3 linked regions of the Neurospora crassa OR74A genome follow. The protein of the gene in region 3 interacts with the protein of the main gene of each other region in a biochemical or structural test. Links are inferred from orthologs where the notes say so. Each region holds a gene or a part of one and is shown on either strand. Other genes may lie near its edges.

Region 1 (6,327 bases), on a different chromosome or scaffold from region 3:
GCAGGTGTTCTTTTCTATTTCTACGGATACATGAACCCGGCGTTCCCGCGTCGAAACAAAGAAAATGACAGCACTGACAAGACTTGTTCAGTGAACAAGAAGGGAATTTGTAGCCACAGGGACTAGAACCCTGCTAAACGGCCGAGCTCTGTCCCAAAGACAAAGAGATGGCTAGTCTCTACTCTGGCATGTGCTGCATAGGGGGGATATCGTATCATGGGGGAGTTAACAATCATGTCTTGCTTTCAAACATATGATGTCGACAAGCGCATGTATTCACAAAAGAAAACATGGGACTGGCACAGACTTGGCCAACTTGATGTGAAATGAAGATATGGTATATTTCCAGGCCTAGATATGATGCTTACCATTTCAACTAACTAAGTAGCAAATGAAACGACCGTAGTTCCTGAGACAGAACGACTCAGGTACAATGATATATGATAGTGCTAAAGCGACAGTCACCCTATCGTATCACTTGATAAACGGTGTTGCTGTCTAAAATGAGTTCGTCATGAATATCAAGGATGATGATCCAATCCATCGCCCAAGCCCTTATGTCCGCTGAGTACGCTTTGCGTCCGCCGCTTCATCGAGCATGTTGTGATTCAGCTCGTTTTTACCTCATAGCAAAACCAGAATCAACCTTGATAATGGGGAAATCCCCAGATCTCTGCCGCGTGACATGTTGATATGTTTGTGATGATGAAAGATTACATAAGTGGACAAATGTGATAAGCGAGCACACACAACCTCTAGTCATGGACGCTTGTCATTTCATGGTTTCAAGGTATGGGCAGTAAACTTGGTCTCAGGAAAACTCTAATGGCGAGTGGTAAAAGGGGAAACAAAGTGTCCTGGAAAACGAGACATAGACAGTTCAAAAGTGGGATGGTGACGGCCATGGCTTTATGACGGCCTTTGTCCACTTGGCATTCTGTTGACTGAACATGTGGTTGAAGATAGTGGCGTTCTTCGGCTCAGTCCCTCATCTGCCTAACATTAATATTGATGCGCTTGTTCTTCATCCAGCCCCTCCAAGCCTCATACTTTCCATCTTCGGCGGGCCAATCCTCCAGCCACTCGGGACAGGTGCCCTTGAAGATTTTGGGTACACCATGCCAGGCAAACCTGGACTCCTTAGTCATGTAAATGATATCGCCAGACCGTAGCCTTAGCAGCAAGAACTTCTTGTCGCTCTTGCCACTTTCATTTTCTGCGGATCCCTTTTGCTTTTCGTCTTCCGACACCTTGCCCCAGTCCTCGGGACAAATCATGAAGAGCGAATCACAGCCTATACTCAAGCTGACCAGGCCTTTGTCGGTCTCTTCTGACACATCGCGGTGCATCATCATGGTATCGCCGGGGGTGTAGAAATTGACAATGGCCGCTTGGGCCTGAGTCTCGGGAAACAGGGTCTCCAAAAGGCCGGCAATGTCTTTGGGAAACTCGGGGGGCAGCTCGCCCGGGTAAACGCGATTCGTCCAGTCATACTGTCCACCTAGGGTGACCCAGTGTAGCTTGCGGTTGAAGACTTGTTGAAAAGTGAGAGGCTTGTGTACAGAAGGGTCCTTTGGCTCAAAACACGTCTCGGAATCTGGAGGGTAGGAGAAGAAGGATTCCTGAAGGCCTGTTTCGGGATCCACGGGCGGGTAGGGGAGCTTGAAATGGAGATGCATGTTGGTCTGGTGATGGGGTTGGTTGAGATCGCGGTGAATGATGTTGCGCAGTAGCGTCTTTTGGACCTCGGGGGGAATGAGGTTTGGGAGAATCAAGAGACCTTTTGGGGTTGGTCAGCAATGATTCGTGAGGAAGAGGGGTCCAGGATCTTGAGTTCACCAGGCAAGAGAGGATGGTAATAGATGGGGGCGTCCTTGTCTGTGCGGAACTCTGGTGAGTCTTCGGGGCAGATATAGCTGAAGGACCTGTTCAAAGTCTCGGTAGGAATGGAGCCAGCGAGCACAAACTCGGGGGCTTTTTCGGGACTGCGCAAGTCATCGATCTCGGGGCTGTTCATGACGATTTTCTGGTCGACTTTGGCGAACGACTTCCACTTGAGCCGCAGCTCATCCGACGGCTGCTCGTGCGCATCCAGGTCATGGTGTCCACCCATCATCTTGAAAGTCGGGTAGTTCTTTTGAGCGAGATATCCAAAAAGAGAACAGAAAAGTGACCGAAGAAATGGATATGAGTATACAAGTTGACTCCTTCCGAGTCCTCGTGTGACGTTGCGGATTTGGAGTAGGGAAGTATCGTGAGATGAAATTGTGGGGACTCGAGTGAAGCTTCAGACGGGACGGATGGTCGAGATGGATTGATGTGTGGGCGTCGAGCTGAGGCTGGGCTGGGCGTCTGAATGGCTGGAGCTTCTGAATGGCGCCACAAGTCAGGGGTAGTCAACAGTTAGAGATCGTGGCTACCTAGAAGGTACCTACGTATTCTGCCCCATCTTGGTGGGCTGTCGGGTACAGTCAATGCTCCAAGTAGTAGTACTTACTAGAACTAGGTAGAGGTGGTACATATGTACCTAGATTGCTTGAAAGTTTACCTACCTACCTTGAACTCGGAGTACCTACCGACGAGGAAAGCGGGCATTTTTTGGACGCGTTCATTCCTCCCTTGCAGTCCGTCCCTCCAGTGAGTGGTTTCCATGGTGCCGTCGCGGTCCGCGCTTTTTGTGTTGACACGGATTTCCGTTGCAAGCGCCAAGTCTAAGACGTAATCGTCCCGTCTCCAACCACCTGCACTCGGATGCCCGTCTGGAATAAAACCTACCTACTGCACTACAGTACAGCGGACCACCCCCCTGGACTGCCCTCTAAATCCGACACTCGAACGACAACCACAACTTCACAACCTCAACTTCCACTTGCACGTCCACCGCCTCTCCTTCCTTGGATTTCTGTCCCTTCACCATCACGGTCCCTTAGTATCAAGAAGTTGCAGGAACAACGGACGACAATTACATCGCTCGCTGCATCATATTGCCTTTTCATCAGCGGCCTTTCGCATTCAGCCCTCCGCCCAGGACGACCCGTCGACCATTCACGGCACCATCATCACCACCAAAAGTCAACACCAAAACAAAGTATTTACGGTAGCTAGTACTGTAGCCTTTTGACGGCAACGACGGACGATTCCACCTTTTTTCGTTTTTGTTTACCAATCCGCCACTGCGCTCCCTTTGGACACCACCTATCCTTGGCTGGACCTTGACTCTCCAAGGATCAATCAATCTCAAGAAGGCGACCCTTCGACGGCCGTCACTTTCTCCATCCGCCGCCGCCGCCGCCGCCGCCCCACGCTTCGTTCTGGGCTTTTCCATCAATCACTGTGCTTCAGCGCGCTAGGTACAACATCGTTCGTCGTAATCGTCCCCCACCACGACGACCACGAACACCAGGCACCAACCCCAACTAGTAGTTCTACGACTCCGGGCAAAGTCAATTCTTTCCCTCCAGGGACTTTCAAACCACCCATCTCAGTATAGCGGCCTGGACGGGTAACAGAGCAACCATGGAGAACTATCAGAAGCTGGAAAAGATTGGCGAGGGTACAACACCCCCTTCTTCTTCGACCCCTCCACCTTGGCTCTCTTCCTTCCATGTCCCGTACTGACATTCCACCTTCCGCATAGGAACGTATGGTGTCGTCTACAAGGCCCGCGACTTGGCTAACAGCGGGCGCATTGTCGCCCTCAAGAAGATCCGCCTCGAAGCCGAAGATGAGGGCGTCCCCTCTACCGCCATCCGTGAGATCTCGCTGCTCAAGGAGATGCGCGACCCCAACATTGTGCGTCTCCTCAACATTGTCCACGCCGACGGCGGTCAAGGCCATAAGCTGTATCTTGTCTTCGAATTCCTCGATCTTGATCTGAAGAAGTACATGGAGGCCCTTCCTGTCAGCGACGGTGGTAGGGGCAAGGCCCTCCCCGAAGGAACGGGCGCCGGACTGCACAATTTGGGACTGGGCGAGGATATCATCAAGAAGTTCATGAGCCAGCTTTGCGAGGGCGTCCGATACTGCCACAGCCACCGTGTCCTACACCGCGATCTCAAGCCCCAGAACCTGCTCATCGACCGCGACGGCAACTTGAAGCTAGCAGATTTCGGTCTCGCCCGCGCCTTTGGTGTTCCACTCCGTACTTATACCCACGAGGTCGTCACATTGTGGTACCGTGCGCCCGAAATCCTGCTGGGTGGTCGTCAGTACTCGACCGGTGTCGATATGTGGTCCGTTGGTTGCATCTTTGCCGAAATGTGCACACGCAAGCCCTTGTTCCCTGGTGATTCGGAAATTGACGAGATCTTCAAGATCTTCCGGTACGTTTATGCAGTTACCTTTTCTTGGCACCTTTCTGCTTCTCCCCTAGTCCGCTATACTGACCTCTTTTCCTCCAAACAGTCTGCTTGGAACCCCTACTGAGGACATCTGGCCCGGCGTCACCTCCTATCCCGACTTCAAGGCATCTTTCCCCAAGTGGGTACGCGACTACAACGTACCACTTTGCCAAAACCTCGACGATGTCGGTCTTGAGCTACTTGAATCCATGCTTGTCTACGACCCTGCTGGCCGAATCTCTGCCAAGGCAGCGTGCAATCACCCTTACTTTGAAGACTACAACCCCAAGCCAAAGAGCAAATACCGCGACAGCAGCAGATACGCCTAGGGACGTTCGCCAAGGTCGAAGCAGGAGCGTTAGGCAATAGCAGATCGACTATCCAAGTTTTGCAGCCGGCTGCTTAGGTTCGGTTGGATCTCGGTGACTTCAAAGTGGGCAGTTCGTGGCAAGGGTACAGTCTTTGTGATTCTACCAGTAGCGAGTGAGGTCGACACACCGAAACGGTGACAGAAACAAACTGTCATTATCACACCTGAAGCATATCATAGCATCCCACTTTGCTTTCAGGATACTCGGAAACATGATATTCGACACATCAAATTCCCCATACCTACATTTTGTTGTATGTAGGGTTGTGTTTTTAGGGAACAGCGTTCAAAGGGGTCATGGGTAAAGGAAGTACATTGGAATGGAGTTCTGTATTACACGATTCGGTGTTATCTGGAAGAGCAAATGGCATTCAAGGGATGGGGCTTTCTGTTAGCCCTGGTGCATATTAGGGAGTTGTGGTGTGAAGTGTACTGTACACAGGCAGGGAAAAGGCGCAAGACATTGTTCCAATAAATCTCGCATGTACATACTTTCCCCTGTCCAAACACAGGTCCTTCGTTTGGAGATGCGAAGTGATGTCGGCTGTTCCTTCATCTTTGATGTGCTCCATTTCTTTCTCCCTGCTCGGATTTATGTTGCCATTGATCGATTTCTCATGTTGCCTTCTTGGCTGTCTTTCTTTCCGACAAGCGCTCACACCACCGCATTACATGTCCCCCAACATTGTAGGCATTCGCTTTTATCAGACTGAGCAAATGGTACCTCAGCACATGGGACTGCAGACATCGTCATGCTGACAGCGCTAATGAAGAATGCTTTCAGAAAAGCCTAGCTCACTCAAGCCTGTACCAAGCGGTTGGCTCCCAACATTTCAGCTATCAAAAGAGCATCACGTCAGTGGATTGGGAACCACTCAACAAGACAGATCAGGCGTCATAGGGAGGCTATATACCTGCAATACACTCACTGAAGCTCTTCCTAGTCCCAGTATCTCAACCGTGGTGTTGCGTGGTGTGGCGTCCAGACACTCCATCGGGGCCGTACCTTTTTTTTGCCTGTTTAACGGTCTGTATTTTCAACACAAACCGGTAACAGGAGCTTTATCTCGCCAATCCGGACCGACATCTGCTATCGTACCTTAAAAGTACTTACATATTTGGCTTGGAGAAGGCTGACAGCGGAGGACGGATTCGTTCGACGATATCGTGCATGATCAACGAAAGGTAGTAGGCAATTGGTCAATTGGGAAGTAACTGAATAATACACAGGACTGTGTATTTCAGTGTGCCTTGGTACGACACCACGCTCATTATCCCTCGAAAATAGTGGAAAGACGTTCGGGCTCCCAGCGGATGTGGTGGTTCACCGTAAGGCTGGTGTGGTGTGTGTGAATATGGGCAGTGAGTGAGTGGTATGAGTGGTTATTAGCGAAGCGGGGTGTTTCAGTTCTAACGATTTGGTTCAAATTCAGAAAATAACAGATTATATCACCCACAAGCAAGAAGAGTCTGTCTTTCCCACACTCAATCGCCTGTGCAGTCTTGGCAAGAGGTGTGTGTGCGTGCACACACACACACACACCGCACTTCTGTATTGTACAACTTCGTCAAAATTCATCATTTCACAACAATTTCTACATCAATTTGAAGCTATTT
Region 2 (6,120 bases), on a different chromosome or scaffold from region 3:
TTCAAAGAATATCTCGTCCTTTATTGGTTGTACGTGGTTCCGCTCGCCTGAATGTCTAGCTCTCATGAGCGGTTAGCATCATGTTGTTTGTCTGCACTCCATTCCTAAAGACCGTGTGAGACCGGGAACTTCAGGCGTCGAAAAAAAAAAAAAAAAAATGTTGGCCTTGCATGATCACCGGCTGTCAGCTTACTGGCTGACTGATAATATTATCTGTCTGTTTGTAGATAGTCCGAGCAAGTGGACCCCCATCAGCTTACTTAGTGTGAACCTCTTCCCCCCGCAAACCTGCCCTCTGACCTTGAGTTTCAATTTTGGTTCTGCTTCAACCCAGCCACTTGAACCAAGAACTATCCTCAAACAAACATACGTACTACACCGGTGTCTCTCCAAACAACAACATCATGGCGCCAACATCTCCGACTCCCACCGCCTCTGCTACGGCTACCATCCCGTTTCTCTATCGAATCATCTTGCTCTATATCGAACCCCTCTTCGCAATCAACGGCGCTTTCATGGTCTTCTTTCAGCCAGCGAAATACGCGGCCATGATGACGCGCGCATCTGTGCCCTACGATGCCCCCTCGCAATATCTCTACACGCAGATTGGGAGTGGATGGCTGTACTTTGCCTTCATCCAAGCCGTCATCCTTCGGCTGTATGATGATCTGCGTCTATGGCAGCTGCTCTGTGTCGGCATGCTCCTCAGTGATGCTGGGTATAGCTGGTCCGTGATACAAGGGGTAGGCGGATGGAGTCAGTGGATCAAAGTTGGAGAATGGGAAACCTCAGACTGGACCTTATTTTGGGCAACTGTGCCTTTGGCAGTGATCAGGGTTTTGGTTTTGCTTCAGAGTACGGCCGGAACGAGGAAGGGTGAAGTGAAGATCGGTAAATAAAGGGGGTGAAGCATTTTGCTGGCAATCAAAGATGACAAATGACTTGAGATGGAAACTCAACGGCAGTATATGGCGAACGAACAGTTGCGAAGGACGAGTGTTTTTGATGTACGGGTAGAACACACCGACTTCGTGACCAACCCATCATCGGGATTTGGTTTTCCCAAGTACTGCAATGTCTTTCAGAACTCGAGGGTTTGGAGAATTGGAGGAGTGGAAAGCAATGTCAGCTTGAATTGCCATCCTCAATCGAGAACCGTTATTTTTGGGTGCTCCAGGCTGAAAAAGAGATAGAAATCGAATCAATCCTCGGCATCGATGGCCGAGCAACAACGACCCTAGAAGCCTAGTCAAGTAGCCGGGTCCTCCTGGCTGATGACCACGTGACAGATCCTAGCTATCATGGAGAGGTCGAGGAACAACCTGACAATTCCCTGAACTTCCCCTGTTGTTTTGGTAGGGGGATCTTTCTTCGTTATTTTTTGCCCCTCTGCCCCTCTTTGGTGGCTCTCCGCAGTCCGCATATGAAACCGATCAAGAGCTGGCAAGAGATGTCTCAGGTTTTGGTTAGACGCACCCTGGCACCGCCAATGTCGTAGCCACCAAGTCTTGTTTTATCTTGCCCATCATTATCAATCACGTCCTCTTTGGATATGGAAAGTCTCCGAGATCAGTTGTAGCAGGATAGCTCTGGCTTGCTATAACAAGGTGAAACGTCGACTTGGTGTCGATCGACCAGACGTTCCAGGTTGGCCCCCCAGGGCGTGTCCAGGGACTCGGCCTCGTGGGTCTGACTTGTACCCTTGCTACAGCGTGTGTCTGCGTGTATGTAGATGAAGCGGAGATCCTGTCGACAGATTTATACTGCAAGTTCGTCGGGCAATCTTGCGGGTGTCGTAAACGGTGATTGCGGCCGATGAGCCCAAGAAAATTGGAACCCAAAATTAGCAACGTGGTGACAATCAAAGTGCTGTGGAAGAGAGGTTGTCCAGTTTTTAGTGGCATTTTGTCGCCGCTTGTTCCATCAGCCTCAAACACGACCAGAAAGACGCATGGCTGGCATGGCTCTGAAGCACAGAACCCGTCAGGTTTGTTCCCTGGGCATCGGGCCGCATCTGACAAGTCGGGCTGTTAGCGCATATTGGATTTTGGAGGTCTCTCCATTCCCTCATCTTGTCGGCTTGTTGTGATCGTCTCAATGGCAGAGTGTCTGTGACGGTGATTCGATCTTGGGAGAGATTTGACTGACTTGCGAAACTGCGGACAGCCAAGCAGAAACTGGACCCCGGCGGGCAATTAGTACCCCACTTTCCACTTGTCAGCAGCACCCGACTTCCCGTCTTTTCCATCCACCAGGGCAGTGCTTATGTTCGGTTTTGTTAGCGATAGCCCCCCCCCCAGCTGACCCCCTGGCCTAACAGGCCTGCCGCGAATCAATGGGTCCAAAAAGGAGAGAGAGCGGGGCCCGCGGCAGGGCAAGACAGGCCCAGCGACCTGACCACCTGCAGGAGACGGGACCAGATTATCTCCTCCACCTCTGGGTCCCGCATCAGCCACTAACAAGGATCCCGCCGGCTGAACACACCAGGCATTCCATTTCCATCCTGCTGCGCTCCCGCCGCTGTCAACCGCGTCCAGGGGCACCACGCCCACACAGCCCACCTCACCACCCACTGCACCACCTGGCCCCTACCTGGACAGCAGCAGCACGCACTCCCGCCCGCCAGGCGAACACCCCCCCGACTCCCGCCCGACACCTTGGGATTCTATCGATCCTCCCGTCATCACCGCAGTGGCATCTCGCTGTCCGCCTTCCGCTTTGTGTCGAGGTTCCCTCCGTCCCGTCGTCTTGTTCGTTGTACCTCTACAACACAACCCCCCTCTACCTAGACCCGACTTACTTGCAACATCCATCCATCCAACTCTAAACACGAGTCTTGTTCACACCACCTTGCTGCTGCGCCAAACAGTAGTTGCCTCCTAGTCTGTCGCCCTCGGTCGATTAGAGTCTTGGATTTCCGGACAGCCAGGCCTCCTTTTCTCCTGGCGCCTTCTCGCCCTTACAGTCCACTTCTTCTGTTGACACCGACCCCCTCGGAGGTATCGACACCGACACCAACCTCGACGCCGACGCCGACATCGAAGCCGCCCGCTGTCACGTCACCCAGCCTACCTGTCATACCTACTACTCTCTTCCTAGCCTCGTCGCTTCGTATTTCGTCGCTTTTATCCTAGATCTTCTCCTATCCGTCAAACCTCCTATTGGCGTCCAACCTCAGTCCTTTCGTATCCTACGGCTGGTCCACCCTACCTACGTCCATTCCCCTTTTAGGTTTCTGCCAGACAGCAAAATGTCGTGGAAACTCACAAAGAGTATGTCGGCGAACCCGCGCCTTTTCCCTTTCCCTTTCCCCACGGCAGAACACCATATCTGACATGTTGGCACACCAGAGCTGAAGGAGACCCATTTGGGTCCTCTTTCAAGCCCCTTCTCCCGCTCGCCCTCTACCTCCACCATCACAGATAAGGAAGACAAGAGCCAAGCGGGCAGCTCGGGAGCAGCCACCCCTTCGAACGAGAACACCATTGGTAGGCGCTCAGCCCGTCTTGTTCACTCGGCCATCACAAGATTAACCTCTTTTCCTTTCACAGCCGCCTCGGAAGCCCTTACGCAAGCTCCCATCGTCAAGCCTCCTAAGCCCGGTATCCTCGTCGTCACCCTCCACGAGGGTTCCGGCTTCTCGCTACCCGAACAGTATCGCAATGTCTTTTCCTCAAACCATGGCGGTAACTCGATGTCGACGGGAAGTGCCCTTAACGTTGCAGGCTCCATTCGCACCAACAACTCGTCACGAACAGCCAACTTCCTGAGCGGTTCTTCGCGCCCACAGAGCTCGGGCGGCTTTGGCGCCATTCCTACAAATCACGGCCGTATCTCCACAAAGTATATGCCCTATGCCCTCATAGATTTTGACAAGGTTCAAGTTTTTGTCAACTCGGTCGAAGGCAACCCCGAAAACCCCCTCTGGGCCGGCTCCAACACTCAGTACAAGTTCGATGTGTCTCGAGTTACGGAGCTTGCCGTACATCTTTACATCAGGAACCCCAACGCGGCGCCTGGCTCCGGCCGCAGCCAAGACATCTTCCTTGGTGTTGTCCGTATTAACCCCAGATTCGAGGAGAAGCAGCAGTTCGTCGATGACCCCAAGGCCAGCAAGAAGGACCGGGAAAAGGCCGCCGCCGACTTTGCCAACAAGGAGCGCGCCCTCGGACACAGCGGTGTGGAGTGGGTCGACGTTCAGTATGGTACCGGAAAGCTCAAGATCGGCGTCGAGTATGTGGAGAACCGCGCCGGTAAGCTCAAGATTGAGGATTTCGAGCTCCTCAAGGTTGTCGGCAAGGGCTCGTTTGGTAAGGTCATGCAGGTGCGCAAGAAGGACACGAACCGTATTTACGCTCTCAAGACGATTCGCAAGGCGCACATCATCTCGCGTTCCGAAGTCGCCCACACGCTCGCTGAGCGATCCGTTCTGGCCCAGATCAACAACCCGTTTATCGTGCCGCTCAAGTTCACCTTCCAGAGTCCCGAGAAGCTATACTTTGTCCTCGCCTTTGTCAATGGTGGTGAGCTGTTCCATCATTTGCAGAAAGAGCAGCGATTCGACGTCAACCGCAGTCGTTTCTACACGGCCGAACTGCTGTGTGCGCTCGAATGCCTTCACGGTTTCAACGTCATTTACCGTGATCTCAAGCCGGAAAACATTCTTCTCGACTACCAAGGTCACATCGCTCTCTGCGATTTCGGTCTCTGCAAGCTGGACATGAAGGATGAGGACCGCACCAACACATTTTGCGGCACCCCTGAGTATTTGGCGCCCGAATTGCTGATGGGTAATGGTTACAACAAGACTGTCGATTGGTGGACATTGGGTGTGCTTTTGTACGAGATGTTGACGGGTCTCCCGCCTTTCTACGATGAGAACACCAACGAGATGTACCGCAAGATCCTCAGCGAACCGCTGCACTTCCCCGGACCCGAGGTTGTACCCCCAGCTGCCAAGGACCTCTTGACCAAGCTGCTCAACCGCGACCCGCAACAACGTCTCGGTGCCAACGGGGCGGCCGAGATCAAGGCGCACCCCTTCTTCCACGCCATAGATTGGCGCAAGTTGTTGCAGCGCAAGTACGAGCCTGCGTTCAAGCCCAATGTGGTAAGTATCAAGAGCGCTGCCTACTCACCGGTTGAACAAGCTCAATGTGCTAACTACGGTGACTATAGGTTGACGCGCTCGACACCGCCAACTTCGACCCTGAGTTCACATCGGAACTTCCTCAGGATTCTTACGTGGAAGGACCGATTCTGTCAGAGACGATGCAGAACCAGTTCACGGGCTTCAGTTACAACCGTCCTATTGCTGGTCTCGGGGATGCGGGTGGCAGTGTTAAGGACCCATCATTCGCGAGCAGTCTTCAAGACAACAGCAGCAGGAGATAGACAAAGTAAAAGAGAGGTAGAAACTTTGGCTTGGGCAACGGGAATATAGCAAATGCAGCATAGAGGCAGGTTCAGTTAAGCGGTTGTGTCGCGGCTGTGATTGACCCATTGGTGGGTAAGACTGAGCGTAGAGGTGACAGCCAAGTGCTCAGTCGCTGGACAATGGGCTTTCAAAGTCTTTTTTTCTTTATCTTGTGTTTAGTCTATCCATATTTGTGACTTGAGCTACCTAGGTACATTTTCACATAGGAGTTGGGCAGTGATTTGTTTCATTGTTAAACTTATAAGCAATGTCAAGTATTTTTTTTTTTACAAAACACGGGGCACAGCCCGACGTTTGCTTGGAAACCAAACTCAAGATGAGGTGGAAAAGGGTTAGGCAGCCGAGCAACCCGGAATGTCACATAAATGTAGTCGTGCAAGGTCCTTAAGCCCAAAGCTGCTCAGGTCTTATGATCAATCAGAGGCTGTAGGTATGGATCTTTCTTGCTTTGTTTCAGAGGAACTTTTGGCAGCATTTGCAAGCAGATGGATCAGGGGAGAAAACGGATTAGTAACGAACGGCTCTTGGGAACGGTATAGAAGCATGGCCATTCTGAGCTCCCGTGAATCCCGGCGATCAACGGGGAGCGAGTGACCTCGGGGCTACCAGACTGGAAGATGTGATGAACTGCGAAAAAGTTACCGCCATTTCCAACCCCTGTTCACTTCTGGTCTCTCTGTCTC
Region 3 (6,120 bases):
TACCAGCTGGGCCAGAAGGATGCCGCTGTTGAGTTGTCCCGCAAGGCCGCCATCGTTGCCGAGCGTACTGTCGGCCTTGACTCTTCCGAGACCGTGTTGAACTACCTCAACCTCTCTCTTTTCCTCCACCAGCGTGGTGACAGTAAGGAGGCTCTCCTCTACGCCAGACATGCTCTTGATCTCTGGAAGGTCATCTATGGACCTGACCATCCCGATACGATCACCACCATGAACAACTACGCCGTCATGTTGCAGAGCATCAAGGCCTACCACGAGTCCCGCCGCTGGTTCGAGGAGTCCCTCCGTGTGTGCAACAAGGTCTTTGGCGAGCAGACCGTGCACTCTGCCACCCTCTTGTTCCAGCTTGCTCAGGCCCTTGCACTCGACCAGGATGCTAAGAAGGCCGTCGACCGCATGCGCGAGAGTTACAACATCTTCAAGACCCTTCTGGGCCCCGAGGACAAGAACACCAAGGAGGCCGAGCACTGGCTTACTCAGCTCACTCACAATGCCGTGTCGGTCGCCAAAGCCACCAAGGAGCTCCAGGCTCGCCGCGCGAAGGGTAGTCTCGGCTTTAGCCCTCGCAACGCCACCGCTGGCGCGGCTGGTATCGGAAGTGTTGTGCCCAGCGCTGTCGGCGTTGACAACCGCAATATCGATGAGCTGGTCAAGTTTGTTGAGAACAGCGAGAAGAAGAAGGGCGGTAAGAAGTCCAAGGGACCCAGCAACCCTAAGAAGCGTGGCGGCAAGGCCTAAACGTGTTGACCCTGTCATGTTTCTGTGATCGATGGTACCATGACTGCCACGTCATTGCTCTTTGACTGAACTGTTACTTGATGTATATGATCATCCATTGTTATCCATCATCATCATCATCGAAGAAAAGTTAGGCACCGGATATGGCTGGCGTTCCTGGGCTTGTGGGGAATTATTTTGGAATTCTCTTGGCTGGTTGGCGTCTTTTTAAAAAGCACTCTGTATATACTTGTATTAACACATGATAAGGGCGGCCACGTGGAAAAGACTCAACAAGTCATGGAGATATCCTTGTATATGGAGAGCAATGTTTCAGAAACGGGAAAATAAAAGGGAAAGGCAGTACGTTAGAAGCATTTATAAAGCGGTCAAGAAGAGGAGGCAACGAAGCATACAGACACACCCCACTTTTTTTTCTTTTTTCTTAGAGTTTCTTATGTTTTTCTTTTCATGATGGGATGAGCGAGCATCTAATTTTGAGTGCGTTCACGGAACCTTTGTATATAGAACGGCTCCGTTGGCTTGAACAAAATGCACCCACCTTTCAACTTCTGCCTCATGGCTCGGGGTTGTGTTAGTTGGGAAGGGCTGGTTGATGAACTTGCTTCAGAGGAAGCGTTCGCAGGATACAGCAAACAGTACACCAAGTGACTAAAGAGGGTCAAACAGCTGGCGGCAGCATGCGCTGGAGATCAGGGGCCAACATGATGATCCAAGACGATACGTGAGAAGGGAAAGTAGAAAAAGGAGCATGGGAAGTTTGTTTACTTGCACAGTGTGTATAATGATACGTCCGCTTCCCCCTTTTTCTGTCGTTCTCGACACTGCTATGGATACTACTTTCGGGTGCAGTGCCGGATTGCCATTTCAGCGGTATAACGAAGACGAGCTCGAAAGCACCTGCCATATAAAATTGATATCTCTTTCTTCTTCAGAGCCCAAGGCGACGAAGGCGATGATTGTGCGAAATGTGTAATTCGGGTTATGGAAATTTCTCCAAATTGTCACCAAAAGCCCCAACCTTGAAATTCCCATCCTAGCAAACCCCGCCAACCCCCTAACAGCAGGGGGCACGCCTAAATCTGATCGAGGCTTGGAGCTGCTGAGGTACCCGCTTCTGCCCCCAGACTGCCCCAGCCGGGCATCTGCCATCCATTCCCGTCTGCTAAATTGACTTCCTAGTAGTGTATGTAGTGTAGTTGCCCATTGGAGTGCTGCGGAAGGAGACAGGACTGGACGGACGAAAGAGTCACGGTGTGGAAAAGACAACTCTCAAACGGTGCTTCTTCGATGCCAAGTGTACAGTACTTAACCCCCCCAAACCCCCACCCCGGCCAAGAGAGAAGAAGATCCATGATTGCTTCATTCGTCACCCCCCTGATTGATGTAAACAAACCTTCGACAAGCGACCGAAGGATGCGTGGTGATTGCTTTGTTTGCGGTGTCTGAAAATGGCATGGGGCTTTGCTTGCATCTTGCATATTTCATCGGACATCGGATATTGGCAATACATTTGATGTCAATCTTGGAGCAACATTTTGGTTTGCTTTTTCAACTTTGTTGTTGCAACATAAATTACAGTTGGGGATGTGGGGGGGGGGGGGGTGCATGCGGGACTTAATCGAAGGAGTGTCCGTTGTTGACCACACTGCACCGAACGGCGTTAGGTTGCGTTGCGTTACTTCAGTTACATACCTACTTACCTTGAAAGGAGTGATGACGAACAGAGTGGACGGAAGCTTGAACACGTGAATGCTCCACCTCTGCCCCGCTAAAATCCCAGTAATCTGACGCAGTCATTGGCCAGTGACTGGCCTGTGCCTGCTTCAATCCGCATTCTGCGCATGCCTTCCAGTTGCGCACGCGAAAAACCTGGGATTTGGAGAAAGCGTCGCCGGGTCAATTAAACAAATCATTCTCACCTTTTTGCTGTGCGTGGTGTCTTCAAATACAAAAAACCTCCTGCCTACTACAGCAGCTATCTACCATACTACCCCGAAACCCAGGGCCGCATTCGACCACTGCAACCTCTCTGCTCTCGAGTTGTACAGTGTCCAATCTTGATTACCTTGAATCCGAGAAAAACTGATTTTCTTTCTTCTTACCCCCCCACGACCGAGGAGCTCACGCATCCAGCCAAAAGTTGAAGCTTCAAAGAAGGAAAGAAAGAAAGTGTCCCAATATCGCCGCGCTGCTATCCATCAGTCTCACAGCGCCCTTTGACCACCCCGAGGCCCCCTTCCATTGTCTTCAACCAACTTGTTGACGTTGTCTGACTGCCCCGGCCTGCAGACATTGGTAATTGGAAGGTCCAAGGCTTGGCGGCCCCTTGCAGCATCTGCCATCAACGCAGGGGACTGGGGAACCGGTTCCAACTAATCGATGGAACTTTGAAGTTCAATAAATTTGTCGCAATTGATCTTCGTCCACACTTCACGACCTTCCTCGCCCGCAACCGCACGCACACGAATCCGGCACCTGCGCCGCCCTCTGATCTGGCAATCTTGATTACGTCTGCCAAAGTCGCCCTCCGCTACACCACCCAAACATTGGTCTCGGTAGATGTCTACCCACTTCCACCACCCGGGCCCCTGACCTCTCTGTTTACTTACGACCTCCTCAACCCCTCCGATCCCCGAGCTCCATCAGACCTCTCTACCTCAAGCGCATGTGCTAGCGCTTTCGCCCACGCACACAATGTCGCCTTCACCACCGAAGCATACCGCGAGCTTCAACACTGCCGACCAGCACAATCTCAGCGATCCAGTTACTGGAGACTCGTCGCCCTCACGGCCCTCGAAGCGTCGCAAGAAGGTAAGGCGCACCCTGCTCCCGCACATCGCTCTCCTTTGCCACGCTTTGTTACTTTTCTTTGACTACCCCATAGGCTGCCTGACCCCCACTAACCACGCACTTTTTGTCTTCGCTGCAGGACGACGATGCGCCGACCGATCTCGCCGACGAGGCCGACTCGTCATTAGTTGCCGACCAGTCAGCTCTAGACATGAACGACGATGACCAGGTGGTGGCACGCGTCATACAGTATCTTGAGATGCCCAAGAATGTTCAGGCTAGCAAGGACCACTCCAACAGCATCCACGAGTCGAGCCAGGGCGTTCAGGCCTTTGCTAAAATCGCGGCCAATGACTGGACCTACTACATCATGAGCCTCAATGTCAATATCGGTCGCTCCTCCGAACCTATACAAGCTACCACCGGCCAGAGCCAGGAGGAAGACCCCAGCAAAGTGGTACACATCGACCTTGGCCCCAACAAGCAGGTTTCTCGCCAGCATGCTCTTATCTACTTCAAGTCCACAGAGGAGCAGTGGTGGTTGCGCGTCAAGGGCCGCAATGCGCTCAAGGTTGATGGTGTCCCGTGGAAAGTGGGCGACGAGGGGCCTCTGAGAAGTGGCGAGGTCATCGAGATTGGCGGTATGGAGATGATGTTTGTTCTGCCTGCCGATATTAGTGCTCTTCAAATCAAAAGGGACTATCTCGAGCGAGCCGGCATCGTTCCCCCAGACTCGCAGGTTTCTCCTCGCCAAGCTCGCCATCCCCTTCCCTCAGCAGGAGAATCGCATGCTTTTCAGGCCGTGTCTCCGACTAGCAAGGCCGCCCCCCGAAACCAAGGACCGCAGAAGGCATTGGCTCCAGCTCCTCCAGACTACAGGAGAGGCGTCACTCCTCCCCTTAACCTTCCCCGACCGCCGATGCACAGGCCGGTTCACGAAGGTCTGGCAGGTCCGCTTGTCATGACCAACAACGAGGTAGATCTTAGTCTCGACGAAAACCAACACATCAAGCCACAGTTCAGCTATGCACAAATGATCACGCAGGCGATCGTGAACACGGAAGACCAGAAGCTCAATCTCTCCGGCATCTATCAGTTCATCATGAACCGCTACTCATACTATAGGCATCAACCCGCTGGTGGCTGGCAGGTATGTTTCTCCAGCGGTTGCTGTACCCTCGCGTACTTGGATAGCTGACATATATGTTACTCCAGAACTCGATTCGACACAATCTTTCGTTGAACAAGTCATTCGAGAAGGTCGCAAGGTCGACAGACGAGCCTGGCAAAGGCATGAAGTGGCAGATTGTTGCCGACGCCCGTGAAGATATGATACGCAATGCGTACCGAGGCGGTCGTGGTGGACATAGAGGCACCTCTAACCCAGCTTCTCCTAGCGGGCTGAATTACATCACGCAGGGTCCGAAGGACATGGCCGCTAAGGAGCCTGCGTCGTCTCGTAAGCGGAAGATTTCGCCTTCTGACTCGCCACAGCCACAACCGCACCCAACACTGCGCGACTCGCAATCAACGCCTGTGCGCGCCGCCCAGCGCAAACCTCTCCCTGACAAAGCAGAGGATGGCACGGAGGCTAGCCCGCTGTCGACGATCCGGAAGCCTGCGACAATGAGTACATTGGGGATAGTGGAGGATACGCCTGCATCGCCGACGTTGGGACCGTCGTACCTGCAGGAAGACGGTGCGTCTCTCGTTACGCCGGCTCCAAACCGAGTTAATCCCCGGCTTGTACCCCCCAGCACGGCCCAACGGCCTAGTCAACACATGCCGACTAGCTCACCCGCCCCGTTCTGGAGATATGCCGATATTTCAAGTACGCCGCTAAAGCCTGCTCAGTACGACGCCAGCCCCTCCAAAACACACGGGAACCTGCCATCGCAGAGCAGCAGCCCCCCACCACCGGCGCGGAGTAAGTCGCCTGCCGGGAGTGCAAGTCCGTCGAGAACAACCAGCCGGGGCGCCACGGTCGGCGTAGAAGAATCCCCGAGCCCTGCCGAGGAAGAGGAGGACCGGGCTTTCGATCTTACAAAGTAAGTGCAACTCTCGACTCTAGTGGTTCGCCATGTATACTAAATCTTTACGTTTTAGGGGATTTCAAAGCATCGGTAGTTATCATGCTCCTGTCAGTCGTGGCAAGGAGGTTCAGCCGGCTGGAAATGGCGATGTGCCCTCTATGGCGCCACTGAGCTCTTAAAAGGGCATGGAGTCGAGAGGGCAACTACAATACCGATGTCGCGATATATACAAGAACGCGGCTAGGGCCATTTACGCATCATTTGAGTGGGCTTCTTCTATTCACACATTTTGCATCATCATCCTTCTCTTCAATTCTTTCTTGTCGTTTGCTTTATGAATTTATCATCATTAATTCAAGTTTTTTTTTTCCTTTCCCCCCCCCAAGGCTATTCGTTACGTGGTATTAATTCCTTAGTTCGTGTCTTGTGTGATACCACAAGGGATGGTTGGACTGGATCATCTCAATTTCCAGGAAAGCCTAATAGCTTCCTGCTTTCGGGGCAAATGATTCTCTTTTTTTGTCATTCTTGTTCTGCT

What was found.
Region 1: of the proteins of NCU00019 (region 3) and cdc28, one has a biochemical effect on the other in vitro, tested with the Schizosaccharomyces pombe proteins (2 studies listed by BioGRID). The link is inferred for Neurospora crassa OR74A from reciprocal best matches to the Schizosaccharomyces pombe genes fkh2 and cdc2.
Region 2: of the proteins of NCU00019 (region 3) and stk-50, one has a biochemical effect on the other in vitro, tested with the Schizosaccharomyces pombe proteins (3 studies listed by BioGRID). The link is inferred for Neurospora crassa OR74A from reciprocal best matches to the Schizosaccharomyces pombe genes fkh2 and gad8.

What each region holds. Positions count from the first base shown.
Region 1 is NC_026506.1:1,088,013-1,094,339, reverse strand, and holds cdc28 (cell division control protein 2), read left to right. Parts: upstream 1-2,799; 5' UTR 2,800-3,516; coding exon 3,517-3,553; intron 3,554-3,637; coding exon 3,638-4,322; intron 4,323-4,404; coding exon 4,405-4,669; 3' UTR 4,670-5,255; downstream 5,256-6,327. Other genes in the region: NCU09779 (oxidoreductase), read right to left, coding at 981-1,780, 1,840-2,116.
Region 2 is NC_026504.1:4,535,308-4,541,427, reverse strand, and holds stk-50 (serine/threonine-protein kinase gad8), read left to right. Parts: upstream 1-2,592; 5' UTR 2,593-3,250; coding exon 3,251-3,272; intron 3,273-3,350; coding exon 3,351-3,488; intron 3,489-3,551; coding exon 3,552-5,110; intron 5,111-5,178; coding exon 5,179-5,394; 3' UTR 5,395-5,812; downstream 5,813-6,120. Other genes in the region: NCU07279 (hypothetical protein), read left to right, coding at 405-899. UniProt on the Schizosaccharomyces pombe protein: Involved in a signaling module for sexual development and cell growth under stressed conditions. Required for G1 arrest under nitrogen starvation and for growth at high temperature and osmolarity.
Region 3 is NC_026503.1:2,312,171-2,318,290, reverse strand, and holds the start of NCU00019 (FKH1), read left to right. Parts: upstream 1-2,645; 5' UTR 2,646-3,453; coding exon 3,454-3,570; intron 3,571-3,688; coding exon 3,689-4,699; intron 4,700-4,764; coding exon 4,765-5,597; intron 5,598-5,655; coding exon 5,656-5,761; 3' UTR 5,762-6,120. Other genes in the region: NCU00021 (hypothetical protein), read left to right, coding at 1-756. UniProt on the Schizosaccharomyces pombe protein: Required for promoter sequence element PCB-driven, M-phase-specific transcription. Acts as a transcriptional activator with a role in the regulation of mitosis. Binds, cooperatively with mcm1, the CLB cluster regulatory elements throughout the cell cycle.